Astyanax mexicanus: one gene and its partner. The protein of the gene in region 1 interacts with the protein of each later gene in a biochemical or structural test. Links are inferred from orthologs where the notes say so. Each region holds a gene or a part of one and is shown in the gene's direction. Other genes may lie near its edges.

Region 1 (10,515 bases):
ATTGTGCCTCCCACCCAGCTTGTATGAACAGTGAGATATGCATCTATGTAAAGGGATGTTTAGGCAGAATAAAATCAGAATGGATCTGAACAATGGCAAGGAGAGAAATCTGCTAAAGCTGTGCAGATATTTTGTAACTTGACAGATGATTGAGTTATTTAAGACATATACACTGTTAATAGTTATTTGAGTAACTTTATTGATTTCTTCCATAGTTTTAACTTGAAGAACCTCAAAATGTTCCTCAAGTAAATTTAACATTTTAACCATTTTTGGAACCTTTACTTCAAAAGCTGTCCTTCAGTGTCTAAATATGCACCTTATAACACTGAGAAACAAGATACATTCCTTAGCTTCATCAATTGCTTAAGTAATTTGGTAGTAACATTTTAAGACATCTGTCAAGAGATCTAAAGCCACTGTGATTTGCAGTCTGAACTACCAAACCGAAATAAGGATCTAATATCAATATTCATATTTATTTATAAGTGGTTAAATAAAAATTAAAAAATGCAGATGTTTTCAATATTTTAATAATTTGACATTCAGACACCCATACCTTTTACTGTTTTCTGTTCAAAGGACTGAAACGTCATGTTTAGCAGTTAGTAGTATTTCAACTAATATTTATCATGTTGTCTCCATACTTAGGTAAAGTAAAGCTAAACTGTTTACTATTGTGGTGAATATCAAGGTGATTAAAAAAATATTATTTTTGCAACAGAACTAGGTCCCCATGAACAATTTACACGTTTGCAACTCTAGGTCAAACACCTAGAGTTGCGTTTGTTTTTCATTAAATACCAATTTTGACAAAACTTGTTCACCTTTGTCCAGCTGGCCATGACTGGATGGACCCATGCATAATAGAAAATATAAACAAAAAATAAAATGCGATTTAGCAGGACATGCCAAGGAGTTGGAACCAGTTTGTTGCACATTACATTGCAGCTATGTTCACAAAATGTAAGTGTCCTACAGTTGCAACAAAGGGAACCTCTTTTTAGACCTCCCATGAGAAGATGCCGAAAAATTTTAGAAGCTTAAAAATAGCCTGACCTCTTAGCGATCTCAAAGGTGAATTCCTGTCTACAAAAGAGAGAATGCAGGTCAGTGTTTAGAGATCCCAAGACAATATTTGCTTAGAATACAGGCCCTAATGTATGAGTTTGAGTAGGATCACCTAGGCGCCACCCACAGTGATGATGCATTGCAACACACAAAAAGCCTTCAAAGGTGCATGATGGATCATCAGTGACGGACGTGACCAACAAATAGGAGAATTTATATAATATATTCAACAATATGAAACTTTGAAAACAAATCAGCTGCACTTCTTGGCACTGCTGGAGCTTTTTTGTCTCTTTAAACTAAGCAAAACTAAATGTTAAATATCATGTATTGTATAAATACTTGGCCAATTATCCTATGCCTTAAGTGTTTAATAAAACCTCTACTAACTGTGGGCTCTCATTTATGCACAAAGCACCTGCCATATGCTACCTCAGGTTCAGAGTAAATCAGGCACAAAGTATAGGCCAATACTCCCTGTTCTGTTTGTTTAAAGACAGGGTCCTTCGCGTTTTTACCAAATACAAAAAAAGTGACCTTCGCTACTGAGCACGCTCACAGTCTGTATCACAGTCATAAATGATTAACTTTAAACAAAATATTCCAAAAGAACGCCGTGCTACACACCTGCCCACTTGAAAACAGTCAAGTGTACGAGTAGTCTTTGTACTTAAGTGAATTACCTGAGTTCTAGTGGATTAATCATGAGCACTCATTAAATTAATCAACATACATGATAATCATTTAAAAGTCTCCATTCAGAATAATGACAACCTGTACAGGCACTTAAAGCAAAGTGTAAGTTTTGGAATCCTACAGTTCCTCTCAGGCCTTCACAAATACTTTATGGTATTTAACTTTTCTTCTAAAATGTCAACATATTTTATAATATATTTTTTATTAAAATGTAAGCATCATTTCAGACATTACAAGAAAGTTAATTTTCCCTTACATTCATGTATTATATAAGCAACCCATAAGAAAAAAAGTTTACCTCAAATAAAACTGACACAATGGCAAAAAGAAAAAAAAGAAAGAAAAAGAGAGAAAGAAACGGAGAGAACCTTTTACTACCCAGAAAGAAAAAAACAACTGCAAAAAGTAATAGCAGCAAAATAAAAAGGGCACCCACACAATTAAGATACACAACTATAATAGACCTTCTATTATATATCATGTTTCTGTAAAGCTGCTTGGTGACAAGTTGTAAAAAGCACTATACAAATAAATTTGATTTGATTTGATATTAATAGTTAGAAGGTAACACAATAGTTAGCAGCTTAAGTGGACTTCCCTTCCAAACAGTTGCTAGGCTGCTGATGTGGTTGCCATGGTATTCCAGGTTGTTGTCATAGTGTTGCAACCTGATTGCTGAGGTGGTTGTTAAGAGTCTTTGTTCTATCCCAGGTGGCTGATATGCTGCAGCTCAATAGATGTAGGGCGTTGCTCTGGTGTTGCAGGTGATTGCAAAGTGGCTGCTAGTTGGTTGCTAAGTTGCTGCCGTGGTGCGGTGGTGGTAAGGTTGCTATTGGTTCTTATGGTGTTATCAGTTGCCACTATATGTGTTGTTAACTGGTTAATGGGTGGCTGCTATGGTGTTACTAAGTTACTAGGTGCTTGCTAGATGAGTATTACGGTATTTTTCTGAAGGGTGATAACTATGGTAATTCAGGTGATTTATGACATTGCTTAGTGGTTGCTGTGGTACCCATGTGGTCGCTTGTCAGCTGCTATTGTATCAGGTGGTTACCCAGATGCTGTCAAATAGTTGCTATGGTATCCATGTTGACAGCTGGGTGTATCACTATGTATCACTGACATTTTAAGGATGTGAAAATGGTGTGTCTGGTCAAAAAAAACATAACATATAAAAAAAAAACATATAAATATATAACTCAATATATAAGGTCAATATATAACTATTTAAGGTGCCAAAACTACAATCCAAAGAATAAACTGACTCTGCTTCCTTTGTTCTTAGAGATCTTATGTTAGTGCTTCTCAATATCAGCTATACACCACACTCCATCAATCTCCATCACTTATCTCCTTTATGACTGACAAAGCATCTTCCTTTGGACCAAAACATCTGGCCATTTTACAGGCTAGACCTAAAATCTACATATGTAAACTTGCTTTTAGTAGGTAAAATTTGAGAATCTTCCCACTGTTTCATTTATATCTCAGCCGGATTGATCCTTTGAACTTCATCAATCCAAGCCAACAAGAACAACATAACTGCAAACATACATAGTGCAAAGACAGCAGTGTACAAATACTCCTATACACTGACATACCACGTCATGGGACAGGAACCAGTTGAAAAAAAAACAAGAAAAAAAAAGTGCCATGACTTTTGCCATTTCCCACAAAACCTAGGTTGCTGCATTGACCTACAGCACATGTGTGTGGGGCCTCCTTTGAACGTTTATTTGATTTCTGACAAAGTCTTTTGTCTGCTGACATGGACAATGCTAGCCAAATGTAGTCAACCACAATCATTACCACCCACTGCACTGTCCCCTGTGGGTGTTAATGCCTTCTGTTATGTATTCGCAGTACACACGAGACACTGCAGATTAAAAAATGTTAAATGCCCTCACAAATTTCACATCGGTCTGGCGCACAATAAAATGCTTTGCTCAAACTCCAAAAATGTAGCTCGCCTTGGCATGACTATGCTGGCCAGTGTTCAACATCCCTCACAAAATAAAAACTCACTCCTTATACAGGTTACAGTTAGTTACTTATATTTTCATCAAAAGGGAATTTAAAATATCTAAATGCATGCATTAAAAAAAGAAATCAGCAAATTAGAAAGTAAGAGACAAAGTTAACAGACAAAGTTGTCTTAGTTCTGCCTCAAACTAAAGACATTTTTAAGCATGTAAATGATTTAGGGGTTTTATTTCATATTTTTGTACTTATATATATTTACTAAAAACATACTTCTTCGAGTGTGCAATGTTGAATAAAAAGAAAACTTATCAGTCTTTTCAAAATAAAAAACTAATTCAACGTTGATTTAACCTCAATATGACGTTGATTCAACCGTGAATAAACTGTGAAATGCCGGCTGGGTAAATATACGTGCTATTACGCTGCACGTGCAGCTGGCGAGATTTACTACACTAAATCCAACGGCATGCACATGAGCGCGAATTAGCGGTGCAGAAGTGTTGAATCAGACCGGTGCCCTGAGCGCATCACGCGATGTCAGGCAGCTCCGCATGCGCGAGTGTCCAGCGCAGCGCGCGCCCTCAGCCCCGTTTACACATTACACACAGGTCCAAATAAACTCCGAGATTATATTGACATTTGTGTGCCTGTGCTGCGCAAATACGTAATCAAACAGATAGCACACGATAACACCGCTGGACAGGCACGTGCCAAACACCTAGGTATTAATGCGCGCTTTTCGGAGCGCGCATTAATGAATAAATCAAATGTAAGACGTGCGTAAACTCTGGTCTAGAAGACCTCAAAATACACAAACTTATGCAGAAACGGCTGTGGATAATATGGAGCGACAACATGAATAAAACTATTAGCCTATATTTGTCAAAACATAAATGTATCCCACTGTGTGGCTTAGCTCTCCCACCAAGAGGGGGTGCTCTCAACAGCGCTTACAACAGCAAAGTAACAGTGGCTTGTATGACATGCCTTCGTGATAATTAATAATGATATTCAAGAACAAAAAAAGTAAAATACCATCATTTTTTGTACAATTATATATAGTGCACATTGTGCAAAACTGACCTTAACAGATTTGACTGACCTACGAATAAGTAAAGTGACATCAAATTAGTTAAAGTCAAGGGTCTTCACACGTTCTCCTGCGTAAACCCATCAGCATTCGCCCGCGTGGTCCCCCTATTTCGTGGATAGTCAAACACATTGGATAAATGTTAGGCCACTTTGTTTAGTGAAGGCAATCAAATCTGGCCACTGAGCTCTGCAAAATCAACACGGATGACCTGCCGGCGAAGAGTGAAGCTGTTATATTAGCAAACTACGTCCTGCTATTAGTTACATATATTAACACACACGTAAACAAACTCGGAAGACAAGCCAAAGCAGCCACCTCAAACACACCTTAGCACATAGCTCTGTTTCTGACTCTTCACTTGCGCTGTAGCTTTTGTAGTCCATTATCAATAAATCAATACATCACGTGTTAAGGTTAATATAATCCTGCGTCGGATTTTTCGTTTTACGATGTAAAAATTGAAATATATAATTCATATTTAGAATAGGATTGTATGTTATATGCACCATTAAAACAAGCCTCTATAAAGGTTATTAAACAAATCAAATGGCTCTGTGAGGAACAATGACAGTCTAACAAACGGAACAGTAAAATTTCTTGGTATCATTAATTGGTTCTTCACGGTGATGCCAACCTCTTATAGGCTGCATTGTTTTTGTTTTTTTTAAAGTTTATAAAATAAATAAATTTTGGGTAATATTTTTTTTCATAATGCACACTCTTAAAAAGTAAAAAAAGTAAATGTAAAAAAACGGACATCTAACGATCTAAAGGTTTTCTAAACCTTTTAAACGATCCACACATGTACAAATCTGCTTGCATATGTTTCTTTAAGGAATAAAGCTAAAGTGTATGTATTTGAGGGGTATTTAAAAGTGATTCTGTTGTGGTATCGTTCAAGAGAACCCAGTGTTGCTGACTTTATTGCTGAAAGTGTTACAATTATAAAGTGATATGAGGGGGATCGTGCTATAATGCTTAGTTTGTTGAGCTAGTTAAAACGAACGAAAGTTAACGTAAAAAACGCAATAAACAGATGCAGACTTCCTTCTATACATTACAAAAATTCTCCATCATCCAGACTGTGCATGATAAAGCCCCCCCTTCCATTCCCCAAATCCCTCAACACCCCTCCCTTCCCGCTCTCTCCTGTTGGAATACAATAAGATTAGGTCATAATGAATCTTTTCACATGAAGGCTGCTCTTTTTTTGGAGCGGCGCAGGTGCTCGACAGGGGGGCAAACGGAGAAAGTCTCGCGCCTAGGTGTGAGCAGATTATTCAAATAGGGCCGAGTGCTGAAGGGATTGGAGGCTCGCCCGGCGCTCACAGTTTATATCACAGCGTTAAGAGGCGCAAGCGGGCGTCACTGAGCTCCAGTCATCAGCGGCCACGGCTACCTCCCACACACACAGATACACACACACACAAACACACACACATGCGCCAGCCCCTGACGGCAGCAGAGCACGGCGACACGAGTAGCCCGTGGTTCCAAACAGCCACAGCCTGCCAGAGGACGCTCGTGTGTGGGAAAGCGTTTTTTGAGAAAGTGGACGAAACTTCCAGGATGCTTGGTGCTGTCAAAATGGAAGGACACGAACACGCAGACTGGAGCACCTACTACGGAGAACCTGAGGTTGGTATTGCCTAAATATAGCCTGTGTACATATATATATAAATATTTTCTTTTCTCTTCTAGTCAAAAAAGCCTATTCCGTTTTATATAACTCAATATTAGCCCTGAGATAATATTAACTTTGAGATCAAATATTGACTTGAGGCGCCTCCAAATCCTCCCCTGTCTCGAAGCCCTGCACTATCCTAACAAAAGTTGGTGTCTGACATGTAATGCAAACTTCCCTTGCAATTCCAGGCCCTTATGTATAAAGAAGGGTATATGCCAATAGCACTGTGCACTCGTTTATAAGCTTATATTTAATTTTCACCTTTTTTTTTACTTAAGGAACATTGGTTTCGATTCGTTTGCTTCGTTTAATGGCTAATTTTTAAACTTAAATGCGATTTCATCATTCGTCTACAAGACCTGCTTGTCTCTTTTTGGTATTTTTATGCGTTTGGAAGAAGTAGGACATCTGACAAAAAACTGAAATGCTGACGCGCTTTTAGAATAAGTTAAAATATTTAAAGAAATAGAGATGTAAAGAAACGTTGTTTTTCCTTCTAACAGCATTAATGACATTTCTCTCTGTTTTTATGCTTTTCAGTGTTACACCTCTGTTGGCAACATGAACACTGGCCTTGGAATGAACTCCATGAACACTTACATGACGATGTCAGGAATGAGCACGACGGCTAACATGACCGCTAACACCATGAACATGTCGTACGTGAACACGGGCATGAGTCCGTCCATGACGGGCATGTCTCCGGGCGCCGGGGCGATGGCCGGGATGGGTGCGAGCATGACGGGGATGAGCGCGGCCCTGAGCCCCAGCATGAGCCCCATGACGGCGCAGGCGCCCGCCATGAACGCGCTCGGTGCCTACCCCAACGTCAACCCCATGAGCCCTATGTATGGCCAGTCAAACATGAACAGGGCACGCGACCCCAAAACGTACCGCCGGAGCTATACGCACGCCAAACCGCCCTACTCGTATATCTCACTCATTACCATGGCCATCCAGCAGTCACCCAGCAAAATGCTGACGCTGAGTGAGATCTACCAGTGGATCATGGACCTCTTCCCTTTCTACCGGCAGAACCAGCAGCGCTGGCAGAACTCTATTCGCCACTCACTCTCCTTCAATGACTGCTTCGTCAAAGTACCGCGATCACCGGATAAGCCGGGAAAGGGCTCCTTCTGGACGCTGCACCCGGACTCTGGAAACATGTTTGAGAACGGCTGCTACCTGCGCAGACAGAAGCGCTTCAAGTGCGAAAAGATGATGGGCAAAGAGGGCGGTGGGCGGAAAGCTGGGGACGGAGGCTCACACGGAAGCCCAGAGAGCTGCAACGGCAACGAGACGCCACCTTCACACTCCCCTGTCCATGACCACAAGCGCGCGCTGGGAGATATGAAGTCCGCCCGTGGTGTGAGTCCAGACCCAGCGGATTCGCCGACCACCCAACACCAGCAGCAGCAACAGCAACAGCAGCAGCAACTCCTAGTCCAGCATCACGCGGTCCTTGCGCACGACGCCCACCTTAAACCTGAGCACCACTACTCGTTCAACCACCCGTTCTCCATAAACAACCTCATGTCCTCCGAGCAGCAGCACCACCCGCACCATAAAATGGACTTGAAAGCCTACGAGCAGGTCATGCACTACGGCTACGGCTCTCCCATGGCCGGCGCAGCCCTTTCCATGGGATCTGTGGCCAGTAAAGCCAGCTTCGACTCGTCGCCGCTGGCTGCAGACACGTCCTATTACCAAGGCATGTACTCCAGGCCCATCATGAACTCATCCTAAAGGCTGTTCTCGCACAGCCTTACGGACCCTTAAAAGGAACTTTGTACATTTGTAAAGAAAATGCATTTTGTGCATTATGTATTCTCTGGACATTTTTCTTGCTACCGTTTATTCTCGTTAATTTAGTGGTCGAGTTTATTAGTAAATATTTTGTAAAAAAAAAAAAAGGGAACAATAATAAAAACAAATAATAAAAACAAACATTGTGAAGAAACGAATGTCATGAACTCAAGGCAAAATGGACCAAAAAATCGCGCCTGACAACTGAAAGTCTTGCACCAACAAAAGGGACAAAGAACAGTCCATGTTGTGAATAAAAAAACAACAACAAAAATAATCCCAAACCTTATTTATGGCTTGTAAATGTGTATTCTTGTAGTTGACAAGAACAGAATCTATATTAAAGTGTTATTTGAATTTTTACTGATGACGGTGAATTTGTCTTTTTATCAAAATATTTCACTCGGATTTAATGGGTATTTAATTCCAACACTAATAAAAAAAAATAAATAAATAAAAAAAAAAGTTTTTTTTAATCGTTCAGAGAATTTAGAAAACTATAATAATATGTATAACAGAAATATAAGAACCAAGATGGGTTTCTGTTGTTTTTACCCAAACACGCAGATGATCATAAGCGTGCAAAACCTCTCTGCTGGGATTTCTTCCTTTCCAGAACCTCTTCCTCAGTAAACAGAGCCGCGTATCTCAAGAGCTTTCAGTGGGATCTAGCATAAAATTAGTATTCAAAAGCTGCACTCAAAATTAAGATTCAAAACGGGTGTTTAAAGAGGTGAATCTTTCAAGCAGGCAAATGGATTTTAATAAAATCTCACGACCAAGCCTTCCTGTTTTGTAAAAAAAAAGGTAAAAAAAAAACTAAATAAAAAAAATAAACCCTGAATCCAGCTGCACACCATATCTATTTTTCAATACCCCTTCCTATAAGTATTGAAAATATATTTTTATAGACACATACAAATTTCTTATTATACACGCACCGTATATGTTATTCTAGATGTCCACTATTATTATTATTATTATTAATTATTATTTATCATTAAGACATACACTATCATTTAGTCATTTACAATTTAAGACACCAAAACCAACAAAAACAAGATTCAAAAACTAAGATGATGAGGATAATAATAATAATAATAATAATAATAATAATAATAATAATAATAACAATAATAATAATAATTATTATTATTATTGTTATTATTATTTTTTATTATTATTATTATTATTATTATTATTATTGTAGACTCTGTTATTATTGTGCACTCTATATAGTAACCATTTAAACAGGGTCAACATCGATTCTGTACCTCTTAAATCCCCTCTCACATCTGTGTCATTTCTTGTGTGAACCTTTGCAAAGGCATTCAACTTTAGTAAATATACAGGATGATACTGTATAAAAAGTGAATTTCTGGCGGGGTAAATAACTATCTCAGCATGCATCTAATCTGGCAATTTTACAACATATTATATTTTTGGTCAAGTAAATGTTTTTGGGCTTTTAAAAGTGCCTAAAGCACAGGTTAGCTGGCAGACCCTCCACATGTGAACATTGTAGTATAATCTAATGACCCTTCCTCTAAAGTAGATCATGCACAGAACCTAGCACACAAACTGTAGATCAGGGAGGAATCCCACTCTGTCCAGGTTGAAGTGTGGACAGAGGCCGTTCCTGCTCCCTTTATTTTAGAGCCCTGCAGCCCTGTTTCAAATCCCCCCAATCTGCGAATAAACAAAAGCTGGTAAACAATGAAAATATGGTATTAATACATATATGGGATGTGTACATGGACGACCAAATATCGAGAATGTAAACTCTGTATGTGAGCACGTCACTTCTAGGTAAATTTACACAGACATTAAATTTCGGTCCCCCTCATTTTAGACATAATGCTAGGCTGATTTTTTATAGAGCACTGATCGATATCTCTGTAAAATAATCATTTTTTTAAACTAGCGGGGAAGCGAAATCTTTGCTTTGTGCTAAAGTCAACAGTGACAGAGTTGGAGCTCAAATAAATGCCGCGATGCCTCTAAGCACTCTGCAGAAGGCAGGCGGGTGTCTCCAGCTGCAGGGCGCTCACTCAGCACAGGTAGGAACTATTTCTGCCTTTCATTCACACTCTTTCATACACGTGCGCTTTTGCAGACGGCGTGTGCAGGTTTTTTAGAAGTTCGGGATGGGTTTCGCACGGAGCTCGCGCCGGTTTTA
Region 2 (11,031 bases), on another chromosome or scaffold:
TATTAATTTCTATCTTCAACTAATAGACATGAATGAAATGTACGTAACAGTTCCCTTTAGATTGTGTGCCACTGCACATTTAGTGTAGAGTATTCCCCCCTCTTTTCTCTAATTTCTCAAACTTTTCAGTCTGTCAATTGTAAACTTGGTTAATGTAGTGCAAAGTAGTGTTCACACTGAAAAGAGGTTACAAGGTCATGTGTGCTCTAGAAATGTTATAGTATTTTGTTGGTGATTAGCCTACCTTAATTTTTATGACTACCTAGATTGTTTACTATTAAAGTTTTCGAGTTTGGACACTTTCTCAATCCGTGCTGACATGAGCTCTATTAAGAATTGTTGAATTAAGGAATTTTCAGGGAGTGTGGAAGATAGATAGGCCTATTAAAGATAGCTAAAAAAAAAATTAGACACTGTAGTCAACAAAGTAAATACCTCATGGGCTGTCTGTCATGGTCAGTCATATTTGTTCTTTTGTTTACTTTAAATATCTCAAATGTAATTTGTATTTTATTTATTGAAGAATAAAAAAATCATATGTCTAATGGTATGCTAGTGTTTTGTTACTTCTTTTACTACTAACACTGTTATTCATATTATTCTTGGTAATAATAACACCCATTATTATTATTATTATTATTATTATTATTATTATTATTATTATTATTATTATTATTATTATTATTATTATTATTAAGCTCTAAAAACTGGATTTATATCAAGCTATATAGTTAATAGCAACAAAATAGCAACACTGTTTCTCCACCCATAGTAAAATGATAGTGTTTTTATCCTGATTGAAAATAGATTTCAATATGTGCATTTCCATCTTTAAAAAGTCGTAAACGAGGAAATGCATACGCATTGCATGCATATAAATAATATTATATATAGATGTATGCATGCTACCTATAACACACTGCCTATCTGCGGACCTGCGAGCCATTTGAGGCATGTTGGGACTCGGGTGGAACAGCAGGCCCATCCCGCAGTCCACTGTTCTGGCAGAAGAGATTGCTAGCTGTATACTGCCATAAAAGACAATTACCGCTATAACCGTTTATGGGGTGCAAAGCGCTGCGAGGCAAGAGAACGCAACACAAGAGAGATGTTATTAGACCCAACAGCTGAAGGCCAGGGAACATCACTCCATGCGTGCATTCGAGAACTGATTTAACACTATCTATGGCATGGAGCAAAAGCCCGTCATGATTAGGCAGTCCTAGCTCTTCAGTTATTTCCTGTAGGAATTAACCAATACTCAACTCACTGGTTGAATTGGTGTGGTAGAGTAAACCTAGAGGAAACTTACTGAAAGAATATATAAGTATACCGCATACCAGACTGGACTTGACGCACATGAGTCGCAGATGGACGCCGACTTCAAAGGCCTCAAAGACCTCGAAGCCGTGGCCATTAAGCGCAGGGCCTGCAACACTGTCTGGCATTCCGCGTTTAATGGCTTTATGGCTGTCCAGACACAATTAGTTTTCAGAAAGCCCAGCACCCATTTGGACTAGTGCTTTTCCTCTCTCTCCCCCATTCTGCTCTCCGTGAGACTGAAAACAAAAAGCCAGCGGAAATAATCTAGTTTTATTGGCGTCTCTGGCCCAGGCTGGCCCCACTCAGGCACCTTTTGTCTGAATATTGCAGACCTACGCGGTGATAAGAAGGGCGATAATCAAGACCAGTCAGGAGAATTTTTTTTTTATTGTCACGCAATAGAGCAATATGTACTATGAAATGAGCAACAATGCAGAACGCATAACAGCTTACGTAACAGCACTGCTTGTGCAACCACCCAACAAAATTTTCACCTCAGTCCCAGCGGCAATGAAAGAAGCAAAAACGCTGTGTTCATGATGCTGTTACAACTTCTCGCCACTAGGTGTCAGAAAAGATCTACCAAAAGGGTTTAAAGCTTCTCAATACGTCGCTGGTTAGCAGTAATTACATTACACTTTCAAAACGATATTGCTTAAAAAGTTTGTGTTCACGATTGTGAGCCCATAGGCCCACTGGTAAGACGGATTTTGTAAAACGTGCAATTAAAAAAAATCAATAAATAAATAAAGGATGCCACCAAAAGGTTCTTTGTGCGATGGCATAGAAGAGCTGCATTTAGTTCTATAAAGAAATACGTTTGTGTAGTGAACAGTGTAAAGAGCATTTTAAAGTCTTAATCTCGTTTTTGTTATGTAATTTTTATCACAACAGTCAATCTTTTTTTTTTTTAGCATATTTAGGAGTTTTATTTTTAGGAGTGTATTTATACATGTATACATGCAAAGATACCATAGAATTGGCTGCTTGTTCGTTAACATAGTGATAAAGCAGGCACTACAATCTCTTGTGATCATTTAATTTTGATTTTGCTTCGGAATAAAGAGTAACTCACCGTAAAGCATGCTGTTGGCGCCCTGTTCTGCTACTCTCGTTTTTCTTTATAATATATAATGAATGACTGAAATATTTATAGCTTATTTATATTGTGTAATTATATTATGTTGCCATCTTGCTGATTCATCAAACAGACTAAACAGTTACAAGTGGTGTATCTCAATTATGCCTTCGTTATGATATTGGATGCAGTGTTCGACAGGATTAAAACATCGTGTCATCCTGCCGTCCAGGGTGTTGCATTTCCCATTACACATGTGTTTCGGCAGTCAGGCTTTCATGTGATATTGCACGGTTTTAACACGGTTACATTTGCGGTGTAACTCAAGTTGCATTCATTTTAAGGTCAAGCCCTCAAAATGAGTTATGCGGTAGGGCTAGTTTTTCCAATAAAAAAAAGGAAATTTGCTGATTTTTAAATGGCTTCAAATTACACAGTTTGTTACAGCTTTATTATTGTTTTGTTTACGGTAAAATACAGGTGGTACAATTCTGTGGTCTGTTTTTTTTTTTTTTGCCTCGGGCTGTGATTGCTAGCTCTTCCATAAATACAAAATTCCATTATTCTAAAATTCTGTTCGCCGAGTGTAAGAAAATGGGTATATTAACTGTGGACAATGAATGTAAAAAAGGAAAGCAAACAAATCATAAGGAAATCTGTCAAAACGTGGTGGATAGATTTTTTTTGTTTTGTTTTGTCTAAGATTTTAGAAAATATTATTAACATATTAACTATTGCTTCCCGAAAAAATAATTTTACAAACAAATACAGAGAATGAGAATTGTCTCATTTAACCAACATATTGTCATTGTTCTGTATCAGAACATTACGCATCAAATATTCAGATTTATGCAAACGCTTGTGCACCCTCGGGCAAATTGCGCGTTTAGATATTTGAAATAAAAATAAGTACTCATGGACACAAACGTATTTATAAAAATCTGCACGTTTTATACATGATTTCTATTTAGTTTGGAAATTATGACACATGTACATTATAACAAAATGTTAAATTAAGCAATTGTAATTATGCTTTCTAATGTGACGTGTTTACAACAAATGTAATTTGGCCCGGGGTTTAAGATGACTACAAATACAAAACAATTTGCCTGTATTAATATAAAGATGTTTTGACAACTGGTAAATTTACTGCATAAAATATATATAGAGATATATAGATGGATAAGAATTAATGTATTTTTTTTTTTTAAAGGAAACGCTTCTACAGTGTCTAAATGAAGAAACGTGTGAAATGGAGCTTGTCACTAAAAACCTATAAAAACACACGCCGTTTCTGATTGGTTGGTAACTGCATAGGTTCTAACCATGTGATATCCAACGCCCAATGTCTGTAAGTTTCAGGTTGGTGTGAACTCTGGCTGTAATGGCATCATATATCTCCCTACCTCGTAAAAACGACACTGAGGATTCTGGTCCAACAAATCAACTGGAAGCGAAAAATGAATTCATCTTACATTGTGGGTGTTTTTCCCAGTAATGCGCAGTTCCCTTATGCAGTACAAGCAGATGAACATTGCGTTCAGCTTCAGCTACAGTGTAGAAATAAAGAATTACTATCTACATCGTTAATTATCAATACATGGCGCTCATCACAAAAAAACTGGGATTTCTCAGAGACTTCCTATGATGTGGAATATGTGGAACAACAGCCCTGACCAGCATCTGCTCAAAGATGAAGCCTTGGAGCAGATCATCAGGTATGAATTCATTTTTTTTTTACCTTTGATCTGATAGTTGGATGTGCTTGTTTGTATGTAAGCTAAACGGCTAATGTCTTTATTATTGGTTGTTAATGACTGCCTTGTCATTCAACGTTGGCCAATCAGAAAGTAGTATTTAATAAATTAATACATTTTATAACACGCTCGAAGACTCTACAAAGAAAGCATGTTGATATCAAATAATATGCAGTGCAGGGCCTACACCAGCATAACGAACTTCCTAGAAAAATTACATATGATTTACCTTGTGTCCTACATAAATTGATTAAATTAATGTATTTACGCAATGTACTTTGCTTGTATTCTTTAAAATAACTAATTCGTATTTTACATATTATGTCTATGATATTTTTTTTTACTTACAAAGCAAACGTGCCAGTGTTATATTAACACTATGGTTGCTAAATTGATCTGATGAAGTGTTGAGTTACCATTATTCTGTGTAAAAAAAATAGGCCTGTTTAGTTAAGTTAAGTTTAGGCCTAAACTTAAACAAAAATCTTTAAATTAAATTTGACCAGATATATGGTTAATTATTTTATAAACATTTAGCCAAATAATTTTTTAAATTGTTTTAAGAACCCTTTTTAAGTTGTTAATAGTTAGAACAATTTTAATGTACAGTATTGGTGACAGTACCATATCTTTGGAACTTAGTTAACATCAGTCAAATATTATCCAGTAGTAATGATGTGCAATCCTACAAAACCAGTAGGATAAGGTAAATGATTAAGCAAATTAATTAATTTAACAGTAATATTAAAGTGAATCAGTTTATGAGAACCATGACCTGATTCTCATTACATGATGGAAGCAATACATTTGTGTACAGATCCAATGCAGAAATAACGTGAATAAAGTGAGAAATAAATTATTAATGAATTATCTTTGTTGGTGCTGCTTACTGTCTTGTGCACTGTACAAGTAACCATGACCTAAATATACCCAGACTTTGATTTTTTTACTTTAACTTTTTTTAAATCTCTAATTCTAATATATCATGCAGCTTTTCCATTTTTATCTAAAACATGACATTACAAAAAGTCTATCTATACAAGACAGAGAATGTCTTATACTGTATAATTTAGTCCAGCACAACCATATATGTTCAAAAAGCAATAATACCGAGATACTAGTAGAAGTATTGTCAAATTGTCACTATTTTTATTTTGATTGATTTTAATTTATACAGATTGTATGAAGAACATTTTTTGGACCATGCCATTTCAAGAGAATAACTTTCTTACTGTCTATAGTAAAAAGAAGAGTCTTGGTGAGCGCACACATATATGATACAGTAACATAATAAGCAGTCTAGACGTGAACACAGACGCTTATGTACTTGCTGAATAACGTGTCACTGTCACATATTAAATACATGCGAGCTTGTTTAAACCTAGCCATTTCAAAAAGAGAACATCTGTTTCATCAACATATAGAAACACATACACTATGTTCAACAGAAAATATGAAAAAATATATGGTGAGAAAATATGGTGCATCATGTACACTATACCTCTAAGTTTACTATATACGCTTATATATTATGCATATGTACCCATGTTCATGCGTTGTCATATATCTGTAGCGAAGGTAAAGCGTTGATTGGTGAAGCACCTCTGACTGGTAAAGGCTCACTGGTTCCGCGCTTTACGTTAATCAGGGCTGTAAGGATTTGCATAATGGTTTTTGATTCGGTATGCAACACAGCACAGCTTTCTCTGTGCTCCTCCTCTATGTAAAATGGCGCCTTGCAAAAATCCCTCCTTTCTAGCTCCTCCTTCTCCTCCTTTAGCCAGGACGCGACTATAAATCTGTTGTTGTTTATGAAAATTTACTACTCCGCTTCACAACTTTACGAGCCTACACGAGTTCCTATTGGCAAGCGGTGGTCACATGACCTCAAGGTCCCATGCACATGAACTTTTTATGTGCATGCTTCCCTTCCCCAGAATAGGGCTGCATTCTTGTCGCGCGGCTCGCTCCTACGCTCGCGCTTGTTTTCTCCGGCAGCGTTCGCTGTTGATATATTTGTTTGTTTGTGTAGTTTTGTTTCTTACAGCTTTATTTCAACGCCGTGGGTGAGGATCTCTAAGCTAAAGGACGTGTGGGCACCGCTAGGATGCTTTCTTACTGGATGTATGGACTGCACTTTGAGCTGGACAGCTGTCAGATGTTTCCCACGTTCTGGGATCCACGTTCTACTGCTATGACTGGTAGGAGTCTAGAACCTTATGCTAAAACATATGTTAAAAGTTATTTTATTATCATTATTGTTCTCAAAATATGACATTTGTATTGTTGTCAGTGCTCAAAAACGACCGGTTGCTTTCTATTTTTTGGGGGGAAATCAGATGTTTACGCCTAGTAAGATAATTTGCGATTAATCTGCGAATAATAGTCTGGACATCAGTTGTGATTACAAGACATTTCTTTCAGCTTAGACCGACGAAAAAATGCCTGGAAAAAACACAAACTTGGCTGGGGTCCTGATACCAGTGTGAACTGGAGTGGAGGGTTTGATGATTAGTGTTCACGTACTGCTGACAGCAAAGGCGCACTGGCAATCTCATTATAGACGTTTAGGCCTTTGCCAAAATATAGCCCTAACATGTGGTGTTGTCTCGGTCTGTCGCAGAGGCAGATTCTAAACCAACCATCTGGGGGCGCTGTGACATAAAGCACAGATAAGAATTGCATAGGTTCTATGTTTGCAGAGGTTAAAATTAATGATTGTAAACCTGTAAAGTGCATGGCGTTCAAAAGCATGCCCTTTGGAGTGCAACTTCTGTACAAATGTTTTGATCTTGCCTACATGGCGATGAAGGTCTGGAAGGAGTGTGGGGAAAATCTGTTCTGGTTCTATTTTCAGACGCTTGCTTGCTATTTAGACCAGCCTGTTTCCTCTTAAGAGTATGTGACATATAGATCTGTTTTGAATTAGACCGTTAACCTCAGTTACATATTTTTAAAATCACTGTGTCACTATACTAAACGTTTTAATATATTGGCTTGACCAATCTCTTACAATTGTAAAGTAATTTGTACACAATACATTCGCTAGTGTTAAATCAACACTGTTAGTTTTAAATTAACATATAACACTAACAGTGTTGATCTCACACTAGCGAATTTACTCGGTATTAAGCAAATAGTATTAAAACGTTTGCACTATTTGAAGCAAAATGGATAGAATGCATTTTTCAGTACTGTACTACTTTTCCCCGTCATGTGATGTTATGTTGACGTTGACGTTATTCATCTGAAAAGCCCTTTATATTTAAATCATTACAATTCTGATAACCATACATCTTGCAACCAAACATACCTTGCAACGAGTAGCTGTATCGAGGGTTTTAATACTCAAATCTGAAAAATAAAAAACATTTTAAAATATTTAATTGTGCTGCTGATCCATATGCCCTGCTCTCATGGTCAAATTCAGTTTAAATAATTCCTAATGTTGTATCAAATAGTTTTAATTCCGTATCCTTTGTCGTTTAATTTTTAGGTCAAAAAACTGTCTGGTGACAGCTTACCAATGCGTATGCAAAAATCATAATTCATTTTTATTTAGCGAGGTTTCTAACTTACAAAATTCTTTTCGATTCCTTCACTGAGGATGTATCACTGCTTTTATTCGATACGCAGCAAAATCTCTGTCGTAGTGCACTCGCAGCTTTTTACTGCGCACAAGCGAGGTTTTATGCATGGTTTTATTTTACGACAACGTCACAGGCCAGTTATAAGCATCAACGCTTTTATCGCCCATGTGTGATGTCTCAGTCTGACTGTATTCCTCGTGTTATATCTGCTGTCGTTTAGTTATTGGTTAGACGTTTCTGGCTACGATAGAGATGAGCTTAACAATGAGTATTACTCCAATTCCAATTTCTCCGTTGCGGTGTTGAATCTGTGTCTTTTGTGTGGTAGTAGGTAGATTTTGTAGAGCTTAAAAATATTTGCAATTTTAGCATTTGAGTTTCAAGTAAAAAAAATAAATGCTAAAGGCTAAAAAAAGAATTTTCTCACACACACACACACACACACACACCTCATTTACATGCACTCTTTAACAAGAGGTTTATTTAACTGATCGACTTGCTATACGTGATCTACTGCTTTCTTATCGCATCATAAGGTTTAATTTAAAGATTTGAGCTGATTTCTTTATTTTTTAACTTGCATTTTTAAACATGGGGTTAGTTTAGTAATGCAATTAAAAAAGTAGCATGTTGTAAAACTGATGTGTGAAGAATATTTAAAAGATTTAGGGAAATATTGATCTTTCGGGAGACTTCATTTTGTTGCATCTGCATCTCTGCACTTTACTCCAGATTTTATTTCTCTCAAATTTAAAGGAGGATTTGAGCACTGTGTAGATATGTGTTTTTTGGAAGGTATGGCTTTTAACAATGAGTTCAAAATAATGAACAGTTTTTATTATTTTTTATTGTTTGTGGATTTTTTCTTTGCTTCAGAGAGGCTGCTTTTAAAATACGCTTTCATTTTCTTTTAATATCTGATATTGCTATTTCACTGGATCGCTTGCTTTTTGTTTATTCTGTTTGATTGCATTGTACCCAACGAAATGTTTCGGAGCGTTTTCCAGCGAGGTCACGGTATTGTGTTTTGTTTCAGCAGTGATAATTTTTCCACTGCAAAGTCGTTAACCTCTGCATGACCCTGTCCCAGCCTGTAGCCTCGAGTAGGGCAGTGAGGGGGGAATTCTTCGGTTATACCAAAGGGTGGCGCAACACTACAGTTCTAAACAGCACCGCTAGAGCCTTCAAACAATTCCACCCAGATTTCCTGCTCGCGCGTGAGTTTACCGCTGGAGGTCATCACACAGGATTTACGACTGGTCAACAAAAAACACGTGACTTCAACCCATACCCCATATTTGGGCGCCTACGTAAGAGAGCATGAAGTCTGTGTCTCAGTCATTTCCATAATTCATCATAAATTGTGCAAGGGTGCAATAGACGCGCAAAAGCATCAAGAGACACAAATCAAGCACGCGCGGCATTGTTGTTCTCTCCACGGTGGTAATAATAACAATAATACCGGCAGAGCAATTATCAGGTAATCGCTGTCAACCAACCAATGAGCTCTTATTTTGTAAACTCATTCTGCGGTCGCTATCCAAATGGCGCGGACTATCCGTTACATAACTATGGGGATCACGGTTCAGGCGACCAATACCGAGACTCTACGGGCATGCATTCCAGCAGGTATGGCTACGGGACAGCGGGATACAACGGCATGGACCTCAGTACCGGTCGCTCCACGACCGGCCACTTCGTCCCTTCCGGAGAACAGGCTCAAAGCTACAGCCAGAGTCCAACGGCGACGCCTGTTGACGCCCGGTACAGTCAGCCGATCACCGCGAGTAACGCTACTCCCCAGTCACCTCCTTCCGACTCGCTGCCGTGCTCTTCCGTCGACAGTTCTCCGGTTAGCGAACCAGCTCACCGCGCCCTGAAAAGCTCCATAACAAATTCTACTGTCTCCACGGGCAACCCCGGGCTGGGGTGCAAGGACGTCCCCAAAACGTGCAACAGCGTGGAGGAAGAGAAGCCCACGGGAAGTGCGCAGACGACTTCACAGAGTGTGTCCGAGACGTCCCAGCCTCAGATCTACCCCTGGATGCGAAAACTTCATCTGAGTCATGGTAAAAAAAACTAAGATATGTAAAGAAAAATGCATATGTGGTAACATAAATGCCAGACAAATGTAATATATCTTAATTTAAGCAGTTTTCCTGTACATTGCCTCAGAATGGCATGATAAATAGGCCAAGGAAATACTCCAAAATTACTTTAAATAAAATCTTTTTATAGCGACTTCCACTGGAAGTTAAGAAGGTTAAAGAGGGGGTTTCCCTTCTCCTGTAAAGTATTCCTTTATTTTAGAGATACAAGTTGCTGCGTGACAGTGGCGATTTAGCACTGTAGTTTGTTTCCTGTTTTTACATTAAAACATCTGAAATGTTGGGCCATATAAACTTTACATAGGTCAGATTGAACGCAGAATATGTACTAAAGCGATTACTATACGTGCATCTGATTAAGATAGGTTTGTCTTGTCCAATCTTTCAGAAATCTTAATAAATGAAGGATTGAACGTATATTTCAGAATAAATGTACATGTACAGTGTATATGTGAAATCTATATGTACATGGCATGCACGATATAAAAATCATGTTAAAGCATAAAATGTATAGAGGTTTATATGAATTGTATGTTTAATTTAGAATGTGGCCTACACGCTCAGTATGTTTAAAAATGAGAGTATATATAATTTATATAAAGGAATTCGGCATGTTCAATTTTGTCGTATATTTAACATCAAGATAATGCCAAATATCAGATTTCCGTGGTAAAATGTTTGGTTAAGTTGATGTTTTGTGACTTTGTGACACTGTGGATGTTTGCAGACTTGTCTGGCCCAGAGGGAAAGAGGGCGAGGACAGCCTACACGCGCTACCAGACCCTCGAGCTGGAGAAGGAGTTCCACTTCAACCGGTACCTGACACGACGACGGCGAATAGAAATTGCCCACACGCTCTGTCTCTCAGAACGACAGATCAAAATCTGGTTTCAAAATCGGAGGATGAAGTGGAAAAAGGACAACAAGCTAAAAAGCATGAGCATGGCTGCTGCGGGGGGTGTATACAGGCCTTGAACGCGTGCATGTATATGCGTGCACGTGTATATGTGCGTATGTGTATTCTATTTTATCCTTATTGTATGCACTCTGTAATTAAGGTGAATTGGGAAAATTAAGTGATATGATTTACCCCTCCACCTTCTTGATTTCGAGAGACTTTCCACTGGCCGTTTGCAGTAAACGCCCCCTACGTTCTGCACTTGGCGTAAAAAACA

Evidence for each region. The genes of interacting proteins can lie anywhere in the genome.
Region 2: the proteins of foxa2 (region 1) and hoxa5a form a complex in vitro, tested with the Homo sapiens proteins (2 studies listed by BioGRID). The link is inferred for Astyanax mexicanus from reciprocal best matches to the Homo sapiens genes FOXA2 and HOXA5.

What each region holds. Positions count from the first base shown.
Region 1 is NC_064421.1:21,261,923-21,272,437, reverse strand, and holds foxa2 (forkhead box protein A2), read left to right. Parts: upstream 1-6,078; 5' UTR 6,079-6,283; coding exon 6,284-6,481; intron 6,482-7,070; coding exon 7,071-8,276; 3' UTR 8,277-8,699; downstream 8,700-10,515. UniProt on the Homo sapiens protein: Transcription factor that is involved in embryonic development, establishment of tissue-specific gene expression and regulation of gene expression in differentiated tissues.
Region 2 is NC_064410.1:62,556,037-62,567,067, reverse strand, and holds the start of hoxa5a (homeobox protein Hox-A5a), read left to right. Parts: upstream 1-6,370; 5' UTR 6,371-9,249; coding exon 9,250-9,817; intron 9,818-10,583; coding exon 10,584-10,831; 3' UTR 10,832-11,031. UniProt on the Homo sapiens protein: Sequence-specific transcription factor which is part of a developmental regulatory system that provides cells with specific positional identities on the anterior-posterior axis. Also binds to its own promoter.